Linked DNA regions of Struthio camelus. The protein of the gene in region 1 interacts with the protein of each later gene in a pairwise test. Links are inferred from orthologs where the notes say so. Each region holds a gene or a part of one and is shown in the gene's direction. Other genes may lie near its edges.

Region 1 (7,755 bases):
AAACCTGCTCGGGACGCGCTGGTGGAAGACGGAGCGGGGAAGGGAAAATGAGCCGGGTGTCTAGGCGCAGGGCTGGGGCGCGGAAAGCCCCCCGTGCCCCGCCGTGACCCCCCGCCCCAGGGGGGGATTTCATTGCCGGAGCTCAGGTGGCCCCGCTGCAGGGGGCGGGGGGGTCAGGGCTGCTAATGGGGCTAAAGTGCTTCCGAGGGGGGGGGCTCCGCCGTCTGCGCGGCCCCGAGGGCCTCGTGGCGCCGCGCTGAGAGCGCACGCCTCCGGGGGCTGCAGGCACGCACGCGCGGCCCTGCGCCCACCACCGGCTCGCGCAGCCCCGGTGGCACCCACGGGTGCCCGGCCGCGCGCCCCCTGCCCGACCGCGGGCCCTGCGCTCCTCTCTCTCTCCGCAGGGACCCCTGCAGCGGCGAGCGGCCGGCCGCGCCGCCCGGAGCCAGCCGCATGGCGGGTAAGGGGCGCCCCGCCAGCCTCCCCCCCCGTCCCCGCGCCCGCCGTCGCCCTGCCCCGCGGAGGGCGAGCGAGGGGCGGGCGCCCCAAAAGCCCGCGTCCCCGCCGGCGCACACCCCGGAGCAGGGCGGCGGGGGGGGGGCGGCGCGTGCAGCGGCTCCTCTGACGGCCGCCCGCCTCGCTCCCCGCCAGCGTCCCCGGGCGATGCCCCGCCGGGGGCCGCGGGCGAGCGCGACGAGGCCGCCGAGCCGCCGCCGGCCGCTGGCCCCCCGCTCGGCCCCGGCCCGCCGCGCGGCCCCTCGGCGCACAGCTCTCTCCTCCGCGACCTGGCGACGGGCCCCCCCGCGCAGACGCAGACTTCGCTGCGGGACTTCGAGCAGGTCAGCCGCGTGCCGCCCGGCTCGTCCCCGCCGCCCAGGAGGCGAGGGCGGCTCCCCTCCCGCTCCCTTCCTCGCCGCGGGGTGGCCGGGGACCCCCGGGGGGGCCGGGGAGGGGACGGCCGCGCTCCCTCCCGCCGCCGGCTGCCGCGCGCCCGGGTTGGGGGGGGGGGGCCGCCCCGGGGGGCTCGGGTTTCACCGCTCGCCTGTCCCCTCTCCGCCAGGGATTCCTCAAATAGCTCCCGGAGAGAGAGGGGGGGAAAAAAAAAAAGGGAAGCGGCGGGGCGGCTGCGGCCACCCGGCGGGAGCTGGGAGCTGGGAGCAGGCAGGGCGGGCGCCGGGCGGCCGCGTCCCCAGAGCCTCGTCCCGCCGGGCCGGGCCGGGGGCGCCGGGCGAGGGGGGCGGGCGGGGATGCCCCCCCCCATGGAGCGCCCGCCATGGCTAACGGCTACCGCACGCTCTCGCAGCACCTCAACGACCTGAAAAAGGAGAATTTCAGCCTCAAGCTGCGCATCTATTTCCTGGAGGAGCGCGTGCAGCAGAAGGGCGAGGGCAGCCGGGACGAGGTGTACCGGCGGGTGAGCGGGCCGGCGGGCACGGCGGGTTGTCCCTGTGCCGGGAGGGGCACGGGGTGCCGGAGCGGGTCGGGGCGCCGGGGAGGGCGTCGGGGTGCAGCGGCAGAGCCGGGGTGTGGACGGGAAGCGGGGAGCGAGCATGCCGGCGGTGGGCGTCTCACGTCCTGCTTTGGGGTGCTGTGAGCCGTCTCGTGGGACTTCCACAGCCCCCTTGCTTTCTTTGACCGGAGAGGGAAGAGCGATGGGAAAGCCAGACGCGGACCCGCCGGCAGCGAAACGCCCTGTCGGCTCCTGCTGTAGCTCCCGTGGGGAAGGCACTGACGTTGGGGCTGGGCCGGTTGCCCCGTGCCGGCGCCGAGCACGGGCCTCCCGGGCCCTCTGGCCGCCTGGGCTTCTCGAACGCTCCCTGGCTCGGGGAGGAGAAGCGCGGCGGCGCCGAAATGGGGCTGCCGGCCTGTGCCGCGGGCAGCAGGGAGCCGAGCTGATAAATAACCCCAGGTGCTAGGAGAGCCGTCCGGCAGTGGCGGGGGGGGGGCGTGTGGCCGAGGGCACAGTTGCCCTCTCCGTAGCCGCAGGGCTGCGGAGGGGCGCGGGGCAGGCGGGCGCCGGGGCTGGGCGCCGGGTACGGGCAGACAGCTGGAGCGGGTACATCCCGTCCCGGCGCCTGCCAAAGCTGCGCGGGGCAGGCTAAAATAGCACCCGCGCCGCCGGGCTCGGCGGCGCGGCGCCAGCAGCCAGAGCCAGCTGGAGCAACAGCCCGAAAAGCCGGAGCAGCCGCGGCGGCTCCCACCCTCCCCGCGGCGCTGCGGGCCAGGGCAGCGGCTCCTGGGTCCCCGGCGCGGCGTGGGGCTGCCCTGCAGAGCACCCCGGTGCCATGCTCACCGCCCCCGGCCTCCCCTGCAGAACATCGAGCTGAAGGTGGAGGTGGAGAGCCTGAAACGGGAGCTCCAGGAGAAGCAGCAGGCCCTGGATAAGACATGGTAGGTGGGGCTGGCCGAGGCTCGCGCGGGGACGTGCGGGGTCCGCAGCGCCGGTGGCGCTTGCAGATGGGCACTAGGGACACCAGGTGTCGTGGCGCTGGGCGGTCAGTCCCCAGAGCGAGCCAGGGCTGCGGGCAGCGGTGGGGATTGGCAAAGGGGCCATGTGTCCTGCTGGGAGGGCAGGGCGGCCCGCGGGGCTCCTCTTACATGCCCGCTGCAGCGTAACCCGGCACGGCTGTTGGCGAGCCAAAAATAAAGGGCAGCACCTGTTTGCTGAGGGAGGGCGAGCGCTGCGCTCCGGGGGCCGCGGCGCAGGTACCTCGCTGTCCGCACAGCAGGGCTCTGCTGGGCACCGGGCGGCTGGGGGCATTTCCCTCCTTTTGGAGAGGTGCAGAGACAGCTTTGGTGTTGCAAAACATGCCACGTGCTGCCTAAGCTCCAAGCGGGACCTAACGACGCCAGATGAGTCAGTGTCCCAGGACTGTAGCTTTCCGGGTTTAAAATACACCATGCCTGGGTGCTCTTGCAAGAAAAGCAGCCGGTGCCCACTGGCGGGCTGGGGTAGGGGTGGGCAGGCTGGAGATGCTGGAGCAGCTGGGGCGGCTCGGCTCTCCCATCCCAGGCGGTTTGGGGTTGGGGCTTTTGCAAGCCTGGTGTGCCCCGCGGGAAGAGCAGAGCCCTGGCTGGTGGGGACGGGCATGCAGGGCCCAGGGCTTTGCATGAACCCCATGCTGGGTCCCGCTTGACCGGTCCCCGCGGTGCAGGTCCCTTCCCGAGGTCTCCCGTCCCTCTCCCAGAGAAGGGACGGTGCGGGGCTGGGGAGCCCCTGGCACAGCGGGGGCCATGCCGTGCCATGCCGTGCCTTGCAGGGTGGCCGCGGAGAACCAGACGAACCGCAGCGAGGCAGCGCTCCGGCAGCAGTACGAGGAGAGGCAGCGGGAGTCGGAGCACGTCTACGAGCTCCTGGAGAACAAGATCCAGCTCCTGCAGGAGGTGAGCGCCGGACGGCCGGGCGCGCGGCTGGCCGCCGGCACCCCCTCGTCGGAGGACGACGAGGGCTGGGAGGGGACCGGGGACGTCCCAGCGGCGGGGCAGGGGAGCCGCGGTCCCTCCGGCCTCACTTCCCGCTACCCTGCAGGAAGCTAGGCTGGCCAGGAGCGAGGCGGAGAAGGCCACGGCGCTGGCCAAAGCCGAGACGGAGCGGTGCCAGGAGCTGGCCGCGAAGCTGAAGGAGGCGGCGAGGAGGAAGGAGGAAAGCGGGCAAGCGGCTGACAGCAGCGCTCTGGCCCACAAGGACAGGTAGGTGGCCCAGGCCCCCCCACCCTGCGTGGCCAGCCCGTGCCCCCCGGCACCCCGGCGCTGCGCGGGGCCGGCCTCGCGCCTGAGCCTGCCCCGCCGTTGCCTTCCCTCGCAGGAGGATCGAGGAGCTGAGCCGGGAGCTGGCGGCCAGCAACCAGCTCGTGGAGCTGCTGTCGGCCGAGCGGCGCGACCCGCGGCGGCGGCCGGAGGGGCCGGCGGCCGCCCAGGCGCAGGTGGGTGGGCCGGCAGGGCGGCGGGCTCCCCCTTACTGCCCCCGTCCCCTTCGGGGGCTGCTTCGCCGCCTGCCCCGGCCTCCCCGCGGCCACGAGGCGGCAGCAGCCCGGCCCTCGAGCGCGCCCGGGGCAGGGCAGCCCGCCCGCAGGGTAAAACCCGGGTGTGAACACACCCGACGGCAGCAGCGCGCCCGGGGCGGGGGGGGGAGCCAGGGCCCCCAGGGGTCACGGCCATCCCCGCCGGCCGCGGGAGCTCCGGGACGGCACGACCCGGCCGGGGGTGCGGGGCAGGGCCCCGGCCTCGGGGCTGGCGCCGGCCGTGGGGCCGCGACGTGGGGCAACCCCGGCGCTGGGCCCACCCGACGGGTGCTGGGGCGGGGGGGCGGGGGGGAGGAAGGCTACTGCGCATGCGGGCCCGCCTGGCCGGGGCGACTACAAATCCCGGCAGGCGCCGCGGCCGCCGCGCACGCGCGGAGCTGCCGCCCGCCGCCATCTTGAAATCTGAGCCACAAGCCGGGCGCCGCCGCCGTGGCAGGAGCATCGTCGGCGAGGCGGAGGCGGGAGCGGGAGTGGCGGGGGCCGTAGGGCCGGGACGAGGGGGGCTGCGAGGAGACGGGGGGGGAGCCCCGGGGCGAGGGGGCAGGTCGCGGTAAGGGGGGCCCGCGAGGAGCGGGGCAAAATCCGGGGTGAGGGGCCTGGCCGAGGCGAGGGGGCCCGTGAGGAGCAGGGGGAGCCCTGGGCTGAGGGGGGCCGTGAGGAAGGAGAGGGGGCATCCCCGGAGAGGGGCTGGGCTGGGCTGGGGGTGTTGTAGAAGGGCAAGTTCCTGCAGTGCGAGGAGTCCCTGGGAGTCCCAGGGTGTGACCCCAGGCGGGGGGAGCTGGGGTGAGGTGTGTTAGGGGCTCGTGGCCTGGGCGATGCGCTGAGGGAGCGGTGGAGGCCTGGGGAAGGTCTCCTGAGAACCCCCAGGAGTAGTTGGGGGTGCTGGTCAGGAGGGAAGATGAAGGAAACCTGCCGGATTTGCGCCCGGGAGCTGTGCGGCAACCAGCGGCGATGGATCTTCCACACCACGGCCAAGCTCAACCTGCAGGTGCTGCTCTCCCACGTCCTGGGCAGGGAGCTGTGCCGGGATGGCAAAGCCGAGTTCGCTTGCAGCAAGTGTGCCTTCATGCTGGACCGCATCTACAGGTTCGACACGGTCATCGCCCGCATCGAAGCCCTCTCCATCGAGCGCCTGCAGAAGCTGCTGCTGGAGAAGGACCGCCTCAAGTTCTGCATTGCAAGCATGTACCGGAGGAACAATGATGACTCTGGCCCAGATGACAGAACTGGGGATGGGACCGTGGACCTTTCTAACCTGCCCGATGTTCGGTATGCTGCCCTCCTTCAGGAGGACTTTGCTTATTCTGGGTACGAATGCTGGACGGATCATGAAGAGCACAGCCTGGAACCACACAGCTGCCACGCTTCAGAGGGAGCGAGTAACCGCCCGCGGCGCTGCCGTGGCTGTGCCACGCTGCGAGTGGCCGATGCTGACTATGAAGCGATTTGCAAAGTGCCGCGGAAGGTGGCCAGAAGTATCTCCTGCGGGCCGTCCAGCCGGTGGTCAGCAAGCATGGGCAATGAAGAATCATCTGTGTGTGACACTGCAGAGTCATCTGGTGCCAGAGGGCCAGTGGATGGGGAGAGCATGGAGGAAGGCACGCCTGCGTCCTCCATTGAGTCGCTGGACACAACTGTGGAGGCTAGCCCTCCGCAGCAGAAAGACGAAGATGCAGATAAGGGGGTGAAAGGGAGCGGGAAATGTGACGATTTTGCAGAGGACCGCATGACCCCGAACTCTTCGCTGAGTGGGAATAGGCTGGAGTTGGCCCTCAGCTTGATCAAGGCTTTAGACTACAAACCCATTCATAGTCCCAGAGGCAGCAGACTACCTATTCCTGTGAAATCCAGCTTGCCACCTCCCAAACCCAGCCGTGACTTGGCAGATGGAAGTGCTCCTGCTGGCTTAGTGTATGCTGGTTCTGGTTTCCTGAATGCAGACAGGAAATCTCTTTCCAGAGCCCATTTGGGTCTTTCCTTGGAGATCTCTGACCTGCAAGAGCTGTGGGACGATCTCTGTGAGGATTATATGCCGCTTCGGGTACAGGTAGAGGTCATTGTGTAGCCTTTCAATTGAGCAGCGTCCCTGCAGCTCGACTCTGAGTCCATTAGGAATTCCTCCGCGTTGAGATAATACGGATAGCCACGTGTCACTGAACCACGGGCTAAGAATAGGCAGCTCAGTCCTTTTTAGGTGCGGTCCCTCTCCCTGTCGCTCTCCTGTGATATGGTTCCTTGTTGTTTTCTGGGAAATTAATCTTTCCGTCAGTCATATCTCCCTGTGAATGCAGGGTTCTGGCTGGGTCTGAGGTCTTTGCATGCTTTCTCATTTTCTGCTGAGAAAATGCCAGTTTCACTTCAGCTGTCTCTTTAAACAGTTGATTTGGATTTTACCCACAACTAAAGGGAGCGTTTTAAGCTGCTGGGCATGTGTTTTCCCGCAAACGTTTTTTCTTTGTGCCTTGGTAATGGCACAGTGTCAGGCATGTCTGTCTTCAGAGCCTTGCCTCAAACCAGCCCAACAGGCAGGTCTGTGCAGTGATCTGTGGTGTCTGCCCTAAGGAGAAGGTGTTCTCTTTGCAGGTGGATTTGTGCTAGTGGATTACTTTAGGGCTGGTATTCTAGATAATTGGTTTTATTTTTTTGATCCTTTAAAAAGATTCGTCAATTAATGGCAGTTATTGCTGAGAGGCGGTGAGCTCTCTTGCTTTCACAAGATGCCTTGGTACTGTTATCTGCTTAGATTTTAGTCCTGCTTAGATTTTTGTAGTGCTGGATTGTCTCTGCTCTGCTGGCTTTAATAAAATCTTCATTAGTATGCAGTCAAAAAGCTGAACTTGTTAACTCCTCTGTCACTTCCCTTAATGAAGGTCTCAGTCAGCTTTAATTCAGGAATATCCATGTCAGCCTAATTGCATTCACATTAGCAGCCTTAGTGCTGCCTAATACTCTAGGTAGCCTCAGGGAGTAGAAAAAATGCTTGTTTATTACTATGGCAGCTGTAGCTGTACCGAGCCTCACTGCCTATTCGGTGAGTGCTGCTTACTCTCCCATCTGCTCGGGTGTTTTCCAGAGCTGTGCGCTCCTTTCATAATAGTCTGCTCGAGAAATGACATTACGGAGGAATGGAAAACAGCAACATTAATTTTCACGCGGTGCACTAAGGCCTTGCGTTTGTAGCCTGCGATTGAAGATGTGAAGCAGGACATAGATGCTGCTGCTGTATTCTGTCAATTGCTGCTCATTTTTGCTCCTAGGGACGTATTTTCAGCATGAAAATAGAGTCTCTCTTAACAGAGCAGACAGTGATCAGTGTGACACATGAGTAGCTTGGCTTTGTGTCATGCCTTGCCATCCTTGTATCGTGCAATTGCTTAGAGGAGTTTCTTTGAACTCTGGCCTCTGCAGTACAGCAGTCCTGGCAGGGAATTCATCCTGCTGAATTCTTTACTTCCCATTTCTTGCCATCGCAACTACCCATCAGCAACTGGTGACCTCAGCGCTGGGTTTGGCAGAAGGGGAAAGCGCTTGAGTGTTCGGATGGTTTTAGTGGAAAGTCAGATGCTGCTAGTCAGCTAAATGGTTCTTGTGTAAATGATTTTTTTTTTTTTTTCTTTTCTGTTTCTGTATAAACATTACTCTTTCTAGAAGCCAGGTGCTGCTCTCCAGTGATTTGTATGCTTGAATGCCTGTCTGGAAACATGAAAGGAATATATGGGACCACAGTTTTCTT
Region 2 (7,876 bases), on another chromosome or scaffold:
TTCTGTGCTTCTGTGGGGCTGTGCCAGGCTTCATGGGCTCGTATGGGCCTGTGCAGGGCTCTACAGGCTCCTATAGGATCCTGCCAGGCTCTACAGGCTCGTATGAGCCTGTGCCAGGCCATACACGTTTGCACGGGAACACATGCATGCAAAAGCAGATGTGAAAATATACGTGTGCAAATACACACACATGCTAACACACCAGCACGTGCACACATACATATGCATCCAAATGGAAACATACACTCATGTGCAGGCATGTACACATATGCATGCACATGCATGCAAATGTGTACGGCATGCACGCACGCCTGCACAAACACCTGTAAAAATGCATGGATAGAAACACACATGGGCAGATACACATGCAGCATGTGAACATGCATGCAAATGCAGGCACGCACATGTGCAAGGACCCACACACACACCCATGCAGCGCGTTGGGACTAGGACTCACCTTGGCACTATATTGTGTTGGGTGCTGGGTGGGGACCAGGTGGCCTTTCCTGCGCTGGTGGCTGTGTGCATGTCTGTGTGTGTGTCCATGCATCTGTGTGTAACCACGTGTGTGCATGCATGTCTGTGTGTGCATGTGTCTGTGTATGAGTGCTTGCAGGTGTGTGTGCATAGGTACAGGTGTGCATGCATACTTGTGCCTGCCCAGGTGTGAGCATGTGTGTTTGTGCATGCCTATTTGTGTGCATGTGCGTGTGTTTGCACGTGCAGCTGTGCCTGTGCGTGCATATTTGTGCCTGCATAAATGTATGTGTATGCGCAGGTGTGGTTGCACAGGCATGTGTATGTGTAGGTACATGAGCATGTGTGCATGGTTGTGTGTATGTGCATGGCTGTGCCTGCACATGTGAATGCACGTGTATCTGTGTGTGGACATGTGTGTGTACTGGGGCTGTGTCCCATTGGGGACTAGGAGCTACTGGGAGAACTGGAACCACTGGGGGCTGGGATGCCTGCGGGATGGGCTGGCCCTGGGGACATTCCAGTGGTCCTTGGGGATGTGGCAGCCCTGGGGACATTCCAGGGGCCCTGGGTGATGCGTTGACCCTGGAGGTCCTTGGGGACAAGGGTGATTCTGTGGACATCCTGGAGAGGCTGAGGGACAGGGTGACACTGGGGCCTCCTTGGGGACAGGGTGTCTCTGAGGGAGAGGGTCCTTGGGGACATCCTGGGGGGGCTAGGGAGTCCAGAGATCCCTGTGGTGTGGCTGCAGGGCAACACCTGGTGGCACAGAGCAGTGGTGGGGACAGGACACCTGGGTCCCTCGGGGGTGTCATCCGGGGATGACCGTGTCCCTGGGGGAGAGACTGTGTCTCCAGGTCTGTGACCATGTCATTGGGGTGACCATGTCCCCAGGGGAATAACCACATCCCTGGCAAGGTGACCATGTCCCTGGGAGGTGACTATGTCCCCAAGGCTGCGACCATGCCACTGGGGGGTGATGGTGTCCCCAGAGGACTGATTGTGTCCCTGGGGGTGTGACTTCATCCCCAGGGCTGTGACCATGTCCCTGGCGGGGGGGGGGGGTGACTGTGTCCCCAGGGAGATGATTGTGTCCCCAAGGGAATGACCATGTCCCCAGGGGGGTGACTGTGTCCCCAGAGGAATGACTGTGTCCCCAAGGGAATGACCATGTCTCCAGGGGGTGACCACATCCCCAGGGCTATGACATGTCCCCAGGGGTGACATATCCCCAGGGGGTGGGGTGACCTTATCCCCAGGGGTGGCCACATCCCCAGAGGAGTGCTGATGTCCCCAGGGCTGTGACCATGTCCCCAGGAGGATAACTGTATCCTCAAGGGGGTGACCATGTCCCCGGGGGAGGTGGCAGAGCAGGCAGAGCCAGGTGACAGTGCTCCATTTTATTTACAGGCTCTTGGGAAGAGGGGAGGCAAAGGGGGTGACTGACCCCATCTCAATCCCCAGAAGGCCCCAACCCCGCCGAGATCCAGGTGCTGCTCCCCCCCCAAAAACCCCAAGAACAAAAATATACAAATAAATATAGTCAGAGGAAAAATGTCAGCTAGTAAATCTGGCCCTGCATGGTCTTGCCTCAGCACCTCCCAGTACCTCCCAGTGCCCCCAGCCCCCTGGCTGTGAACCAAGGCACCCAGGGCTGGGTGGTGGGGGAGGTGTCTATGAGCCGTCAGGGCGTCTCCAGGGTGCCCCATCACAGTGTGAAGATCTCATCCTCGGTGTCGCGCAGGGCAGCCACCCGGGGCGTCCTGGTGAGGGGCCGGGGGCCGAGCAGGGCATGCCGGGCACCCTGAGGTGCTGGGTGGGCCCTGGTGTCAGGTGCCTGGGTGCCTTCGGCCTCAGCGACGCTGCTGTGGGGGAAGACAGCAGGGTGGCAACACAGGGTGACTGTGGGCACCCACCGAAATCACCCATCCTTGGGCTGAACGCACCCTCCAAAACCCTTGGGTTTTGCCCCAAAAGTCGGGGCAAGGGATGGCACTCACCTTGTGTTGCTCTCGCAGAGCCGGCGGGTCGCTGCAGCCTTGGAGAGGCAGATCTCAGCGTCGATCTGCCGGAGGAAATCGGCAGCCGAGAGCTCATGGCGGGATGTGGCGGGGCTGACCAGGACGGCCCCTGGGCCCGCATCTCCTTCCTCCTCCTCCTCCTTTTCCTCCTCCTCGGGGCCGAGCCGCCTGGGGATGAGGAGTGTCGGCTTGAGGAAGATGGTGTCAGAGGTGTAGAGGCGGTTGGCACGCTTGATCTGCTCCATCTGTGGGGATCAGATGAGACGGGATGGGGATGGGGATAGGGATGGGCTGGGGATGGGCCAGGGCCAGGGATGGGACAGGATGAGATGGGGTCGGGACAGGGATGGGACAGGGATGGGGACAATATAGGATAAGGACAAGGATGGGGACAGGGATGGGACAGGGATAGTGATAAGGATGGAACAGGGATGGGGATGGGGACAAGGATGGGGATGGGATGGGACAGGCATGGGACAGGGATGACATGGGATCCGGACAGGAACAGGGATGGGGACAGGGATGGGGATGGAATTGGGACAGGCACAGGGAGAGGGAGAGGGATGGGGATAGTATTGGATGGGGACAGGGATGGGACAGAAATGGGACAGGATGAGGACAGACATGCGGATAGGATGGGACACGGATGAGATGGAATAGAAATGGGACAGGGATGAGGGATGGGATGGGATTGGACAGGGATGGGATGGGGACAAAGATGGGATGGGATGGGATGGGACAAGTATGGGGACAGGGACAGCGATAGGGACAGGATGGGGATGGGATGGGGACAGGGTGGACAGGGATGGGGACAGGGATAGGGTGGGGATGGGAATGGGGCCCCCACATCCCCTGGCCAGCCTCATCCTCTGACCCCAGCATCCTGTCCCTGGGCCCTGCGGATAGCCCCAGGACCCTGCCCCAGGCTCCCCCTGCCCCACAGCAGCCCCCAGATCCCATAGTCTGGATGTCCTGCCCCATGGCAGCCCCCAGTGCCCCAGCAGCCCCTGGTCCCCCCCTGCCCCAGCTGTCCAGTCCCCCCCAGCAGCCCCCTGCCCCATGGCAGCTCCTAGCCCCCCAGCAACCCTCCAGCAGCCCCCCTGCCCCGTGGCAGCCCCCAGCAATCCCCCAGCAGCCCCCCTGCCCCATGGCTGCCCCCTGCACCCCAGCAGCCTCCAGCCCCGCTCACCGTGACGCCATAGCGCAGCGCCAGGCCTGCCAGCGTGTCCCCGGGCTCCAGGCGATGCTCGCGGCCCAGCAGCCCCCCCGGCCCTGGCCCACCACCGTCCCCCACCACCTCCCGCCCCAGGGGTGCCGCCATGGCGGGACGGCCCCACTCACCCCTGGCCCCTGCCGACGCCCTGGCACATGCCGGGGGGGCTCATGTTAACACTCCACCCACCCAACCCACTCCCGGGGGCCACCCTGCACCCCGATACCCCTACACTGGGGCTCGGAGGGACGGGACCCCCACTTCCCGGAGGGCCCAGGCGTTCTGGCGTGCCGCCCGTGGGGGTGATGCTAAGGGCGGGGGGGGGCCTTTGGCCGCCTCTCCGGCCCCCCCTCAGTACTGCTACCAGCCTGCCAGGCCCGCCCCCCCCCCGCCTCCAGTAAACCCAGTCTGGCTGCGGACTGGGTAGGGAGATGCCAGGCCCGGCCGGCCCTCGCGAAGGTCTCTGGGAGACGTAGTCTCGGGGGCAGAGGGCAGCGGGGGTGTTCCCCCCCACGCCATGGCCTGCAGTCGGGCGTCCCCTCGCAGCCCTGGCCTCAGCCTGTGCCCCCCACATGGGACCATCCCTGCCGTGGGGCTGCCCCCCCAGGGGCTTTCTGCACCCCCCCGCCCCTCCTTATTCCCCTAGGGTCTCTGTCCCCCCCCAGGGTCCCGCCCCCCAAAGGGTCCTCTCTGCTCCCTCTGGGTGCTCCCTGCCCCGCCCAGGACTCCTCCCCAAGGGTCCTCCTTGCCCTCCAGGGCACCTACTCCCCGTCAGGGCCCTCATTCATTCCCCATGTCCCTCTGTGACCCCCAAGGTCCCTGCCCCCAGGGTCCTGCCTCCTCCAAGGGTTCCTGCCCCCCACCAGGGGCCCTTTCTGCCCCCATCAAGGGCCACCGCCGACCCCTGATCCCCCTAAATGTTCCTGTCCCCCAGGATCCTTTCTTGTCCCCCTTAGGCGCTGCCCCATGAACCCCCCCCACCTTCGCCCAATAGTCCTCCCTGTCCCGCCCCGGGTCTCATCCCCCCCGACCTCTCCCCCTAGCAGCCCAGCTTGGGGGTAGAGAACTACAGCTCCCAGCATGTCGTGCGCGCGGGGGTAGGGTCCTGCTGCCGCAAGGCACTGTGGGAGTACCAACCCCGCCCTCTCCCTTCCCTGTTGGTCGCCGCGCCGGCCCGTGGCCCGCCGGGAAAGGCGGCCTGGAAGTGGGGAGGGGACGGCGGTTCCTACGGTAACCGCGGGCTGCGCCAGCGGCCGCTATGTCCTTCAAGCGGGAGGGAGACGATCCCGGCCAGCTCGGTGTGCTGCAGGTAGGACCTCCAGTGCCCCCGGGACCCCCCAACAGCTCAAGCCTCCCACACCTAGGATCCCTGGTCCAGCACCCTCGAGGCCCCCAACAGTTCAGGATCCCGCCCGCCGTCCTCCCTGCCCCCCAATGACCCCCTAGACCCGCCCCCTGTCCTCCCTGCCCCCCAGATCCTCCCCAGGCCCCCCTCCCATTCTCCCTGTTCCCAGATACCCCTCTGCCCTACAAATAGTCCCAGACCTCTTCCCCCTTCTCCCTGTTCCCAAATATTCCCCACCTTAACTTTCTCCTCCTTCTTCCTGCCTTCAATTACCCCCTGCCCCCCCTTAATGCCCTCCACCCTAGACCTGCCCCCCAGTTATCCTCTGTCCTGACTTGACCCCTTCAACATCCCCCTACTCCCAGACTTCTCCCAGACCTGCCCCCAAATCCCTCCCAGCCCTCAAATCCCCCTGCACACAAATACTCTCCTGCCCCCAAACCAGCCCTTCAAATACCCCCTGCCCTGACCCCCCTCCTTATTCTTCCTTGCCAAATATGGCCCTATCCACACCCCCTTCCCTCAGAGCTCTCTCTGAAAATACCCCTTCTCCCCCAAATATTCCCTTCCCTCGCTCTGACTCCCAACCTGACCCCCCAAATACTCCCTTCCTTCACCTCAGCTTGTGCTGTTCTCCAATCTCCCCCTGAAAATCTCCCCTAGCTGCCCCCTCTCTCCCCCACCTCAACCCCCCCCCCCCGTTTCCCCCACCTGCACCCCCTTCCCAGCTGGCTCCTCATCATTGCTGCCCCCTTTAGGGGTCCCCCGGGTGCCCAGGTTTCCTGGCTGAAGGGTGGATGGGTCCGTGGTGTGGCTGGGCTATGGGTGAGGATTGATCCCCTGGTCTGTCCCACTTGGACTGGTGAGAGTGCAGGGTGAATCATAGGCAGAAACCGCCTCCGGCAGCAGCTAACGTGACCTTGTTTGTCCCTCTCAGAAACGACGCGTCGCGGACCTGCTCGCCAACTATATCCCTGAGGACGAGGCAGTGCTGCTGAGGAGTGGGAGGTGAATGGGATCCATGTGGGTGGGCAAACCCTGAGCTTCCGTGGGCCTGGGCAGCTGGAACGACTCAAACCTCTCTTGCCACCAGGGACTGCTCTGCCAGTCTCCGAGTGCGGAGATGGGCGAGCCTGACGGCGTCTCCTCCCCTACACAGGTATACCTGCACCGTGTGTGCCCACCGCCCCATCTTCGATACTCTGGATGTGCTGGCGGTCCACAGGGCTGGCAAGAAACACGTTGCCAGTAAGTGCACAGGCTTGGCAGGGGGAGGCCGCTGCTGCACCAGGCCGGCCCACGACCCTCTCACTCTCTTCTAGGCCTGCAGAGCTTCTACGGCAGGAAGCACTCACTTGAGAACGAGGTGCAAAAGCGACAGCACGAGAAATTCGTGCGGGCGGAGGAGGCAGGCACACAGGTGGGTGCAGATGCCCCTTCCCCTCCCCACTAGACCCTCGACCAGACTGGCTTGAGCTCTGCCCCTTCCCCCCAGGGCTCTCCAGCCCCTTTGCTGGTGCGAACAAGGAGGATAGCCCAGAGCGCTCTGCTGAAAGCTGCTCCCTACAGCAGCTGCTGCCGGAGGATGGGGTAAGATCTTGGGGGTTCCTGCCCTCTCAGGGGTGAATGAAGTGAGTGGGCATCACCTTTCCACCTTGTGCAGCTTTGTCATTACCGACTCGCACTCTGTGGAATGCCCCTTCCTTGGCTGCCATCCCCCAGCTGGTAACAGGCACTCGTGGGATGACATTTAGGCGGTGATGGCTGGAGCTGGGCGTCACGCCTCTCCCATCCTAGGGTGAATGGAAATGGCTCAAGAGCAGGTATGACCCAGACGGAGCTGAGCACCGCCCCTGTGCGAATCGCTGCCACGGCCTCTCCAGAGCCCAGAGTCCCCTCGCAGAAGATCAAGGAGGCTGTGGGCACCACCCCAGTGGCCCTGCTGCCAGGGTGCTGTAGCGGGCGAGCAGGTAAAAGTGGGCCAGTGGCTCTGGGTCAGCACTGGTGCCAATGAGAAAGCCCACCGGGTTTCGGCTTGTTTGCAGCCCTGGCCCTGCCTTGGTTTCTCTCTTTTCTGCGGGTCTCGCCAGCTCATGCTCCTCTCCATTCTCCCAGACGTACCAAAGGCAGCTACCACCCAGACCCAGCAAGGTGGCAAAGGAAAAGCCTCGCCATCGCCTGCAAGCCAGCCTGAAGCCCTCAACCCCAAGAGGCGCCAGGCCCTGGAGCGGTACCTGCAGCTCCGGAGGTGAGCCACTCCCTGCGTCAGTGGGGACCCCTGTAATGAGCCACATCTCACTCTCCATCTATCCGTCCCCAGTGCCGGCTGGATCCAGGACCACTCTGGCAAGTGGGTGAAGGACGAGAATGCCGAGTTTGACTCCGATGAGGATGAGCCGCCCGTGTTGCTGCCGGCCTGAGGCCTCTCTCTGTCCTGCCGGTCCTCGCAGGGATGGTGCCCCGGGGATGCACCCAGCCCTCCCCACTTTCCATGTTAATAGAGGCAGCTGGAGGTGAAGGAAGTGTCTGAGCTGTTGGGAATCTCTTTACGGGGAGGCCCCAGGATGTGCTGGTGTGAGTGGCGTGGGGAGGAGTCGGGTGGTGTTCAGGGATCCCATCATTCAGGCACCATGAGGTGCTCAGCACTGTATGTTTTTTGGGGTGTCCTCACTGTGTCCAGAGCGCTGAGAGCAGCAGGGGATACTGTCAACCTCGACTCTGGCTTCGGCTCCTCTCCACCCCATTCCATCCTGTCCCTGACCCAAGTCACGCTCTCTTTTTTGCCTGCTGGCAGGTGTCTCCAGGTCATGACCTTTTGGG

The links.
Region 2: the proteins of PDE4DIP (region 1) and SCNM1 interact in binary tests that used the Homo sapiens proteins (3 or more experiments, as listed by UniProt). The two-hybrid records come from large-scale screens. The link is inferred for Struthio camelus from reciprocal best matches to the Homo sapiens genes PDE4DIP and SCNM1.

The regions. Positions count from the first base shown.
Region 1 is NC_090949.1:9,276,580-9,284,334, reverse strand, and holds the start of PDE4DIP (myomegalin), read left to right. Parts: upstream 1-4,695; 5' UTR 4,696-4,920; coding exon 4,921-6,069; intron 6,070-7,755. UniProt on the Homo sapiens protein: Functions as an anchor sequestering components of the cAMP-dependent pathway to Golgi and/or centrosomes.
Region 2 is NC_090971.1:20,128-28,003, forward strand, and holds SCNM1 (sodium channel modifier 1), read left to right. Parts: upstream 1-4,840; 5' UTR 4,841-4,969; coding exon 4,970-5,020; intron 5,021-5,993; coding exon 5,994-6,064; exon of another isoform or gene 6,065-6,068; coding exon of another isoform or gene 6,069-6,079; intron 6,080-6,215; coding exon 6,216-6,304; intron 6,305-6,378; coding exon 6,379-6,476; intron 6,477-6,551; coding exon 6,552-6,646; intron 6,647-6,853; coding exon 6,854-7,026; intron 7,027-7,171; coding exon 7,172-7,304; intron 7,305-7,376; coding exon 7,377-7,476; 3' UTR 7,477-7,578; downstream 7,579-7,876. Other genes in the region: LYSMD1 (lysM and putative peptidoglycan-binding domain-containing protein 1), read right to left, coding at 2,186-2,342, 2,478-2,743, 3,688-3,819. UniProt on the Homo sapiens protein: As a component of the minor spliceosome, involved in the splicing of U12-type introns in pre-mRNAs. Plays a role in the regulation of primary cilia length and Hedgehog signaling.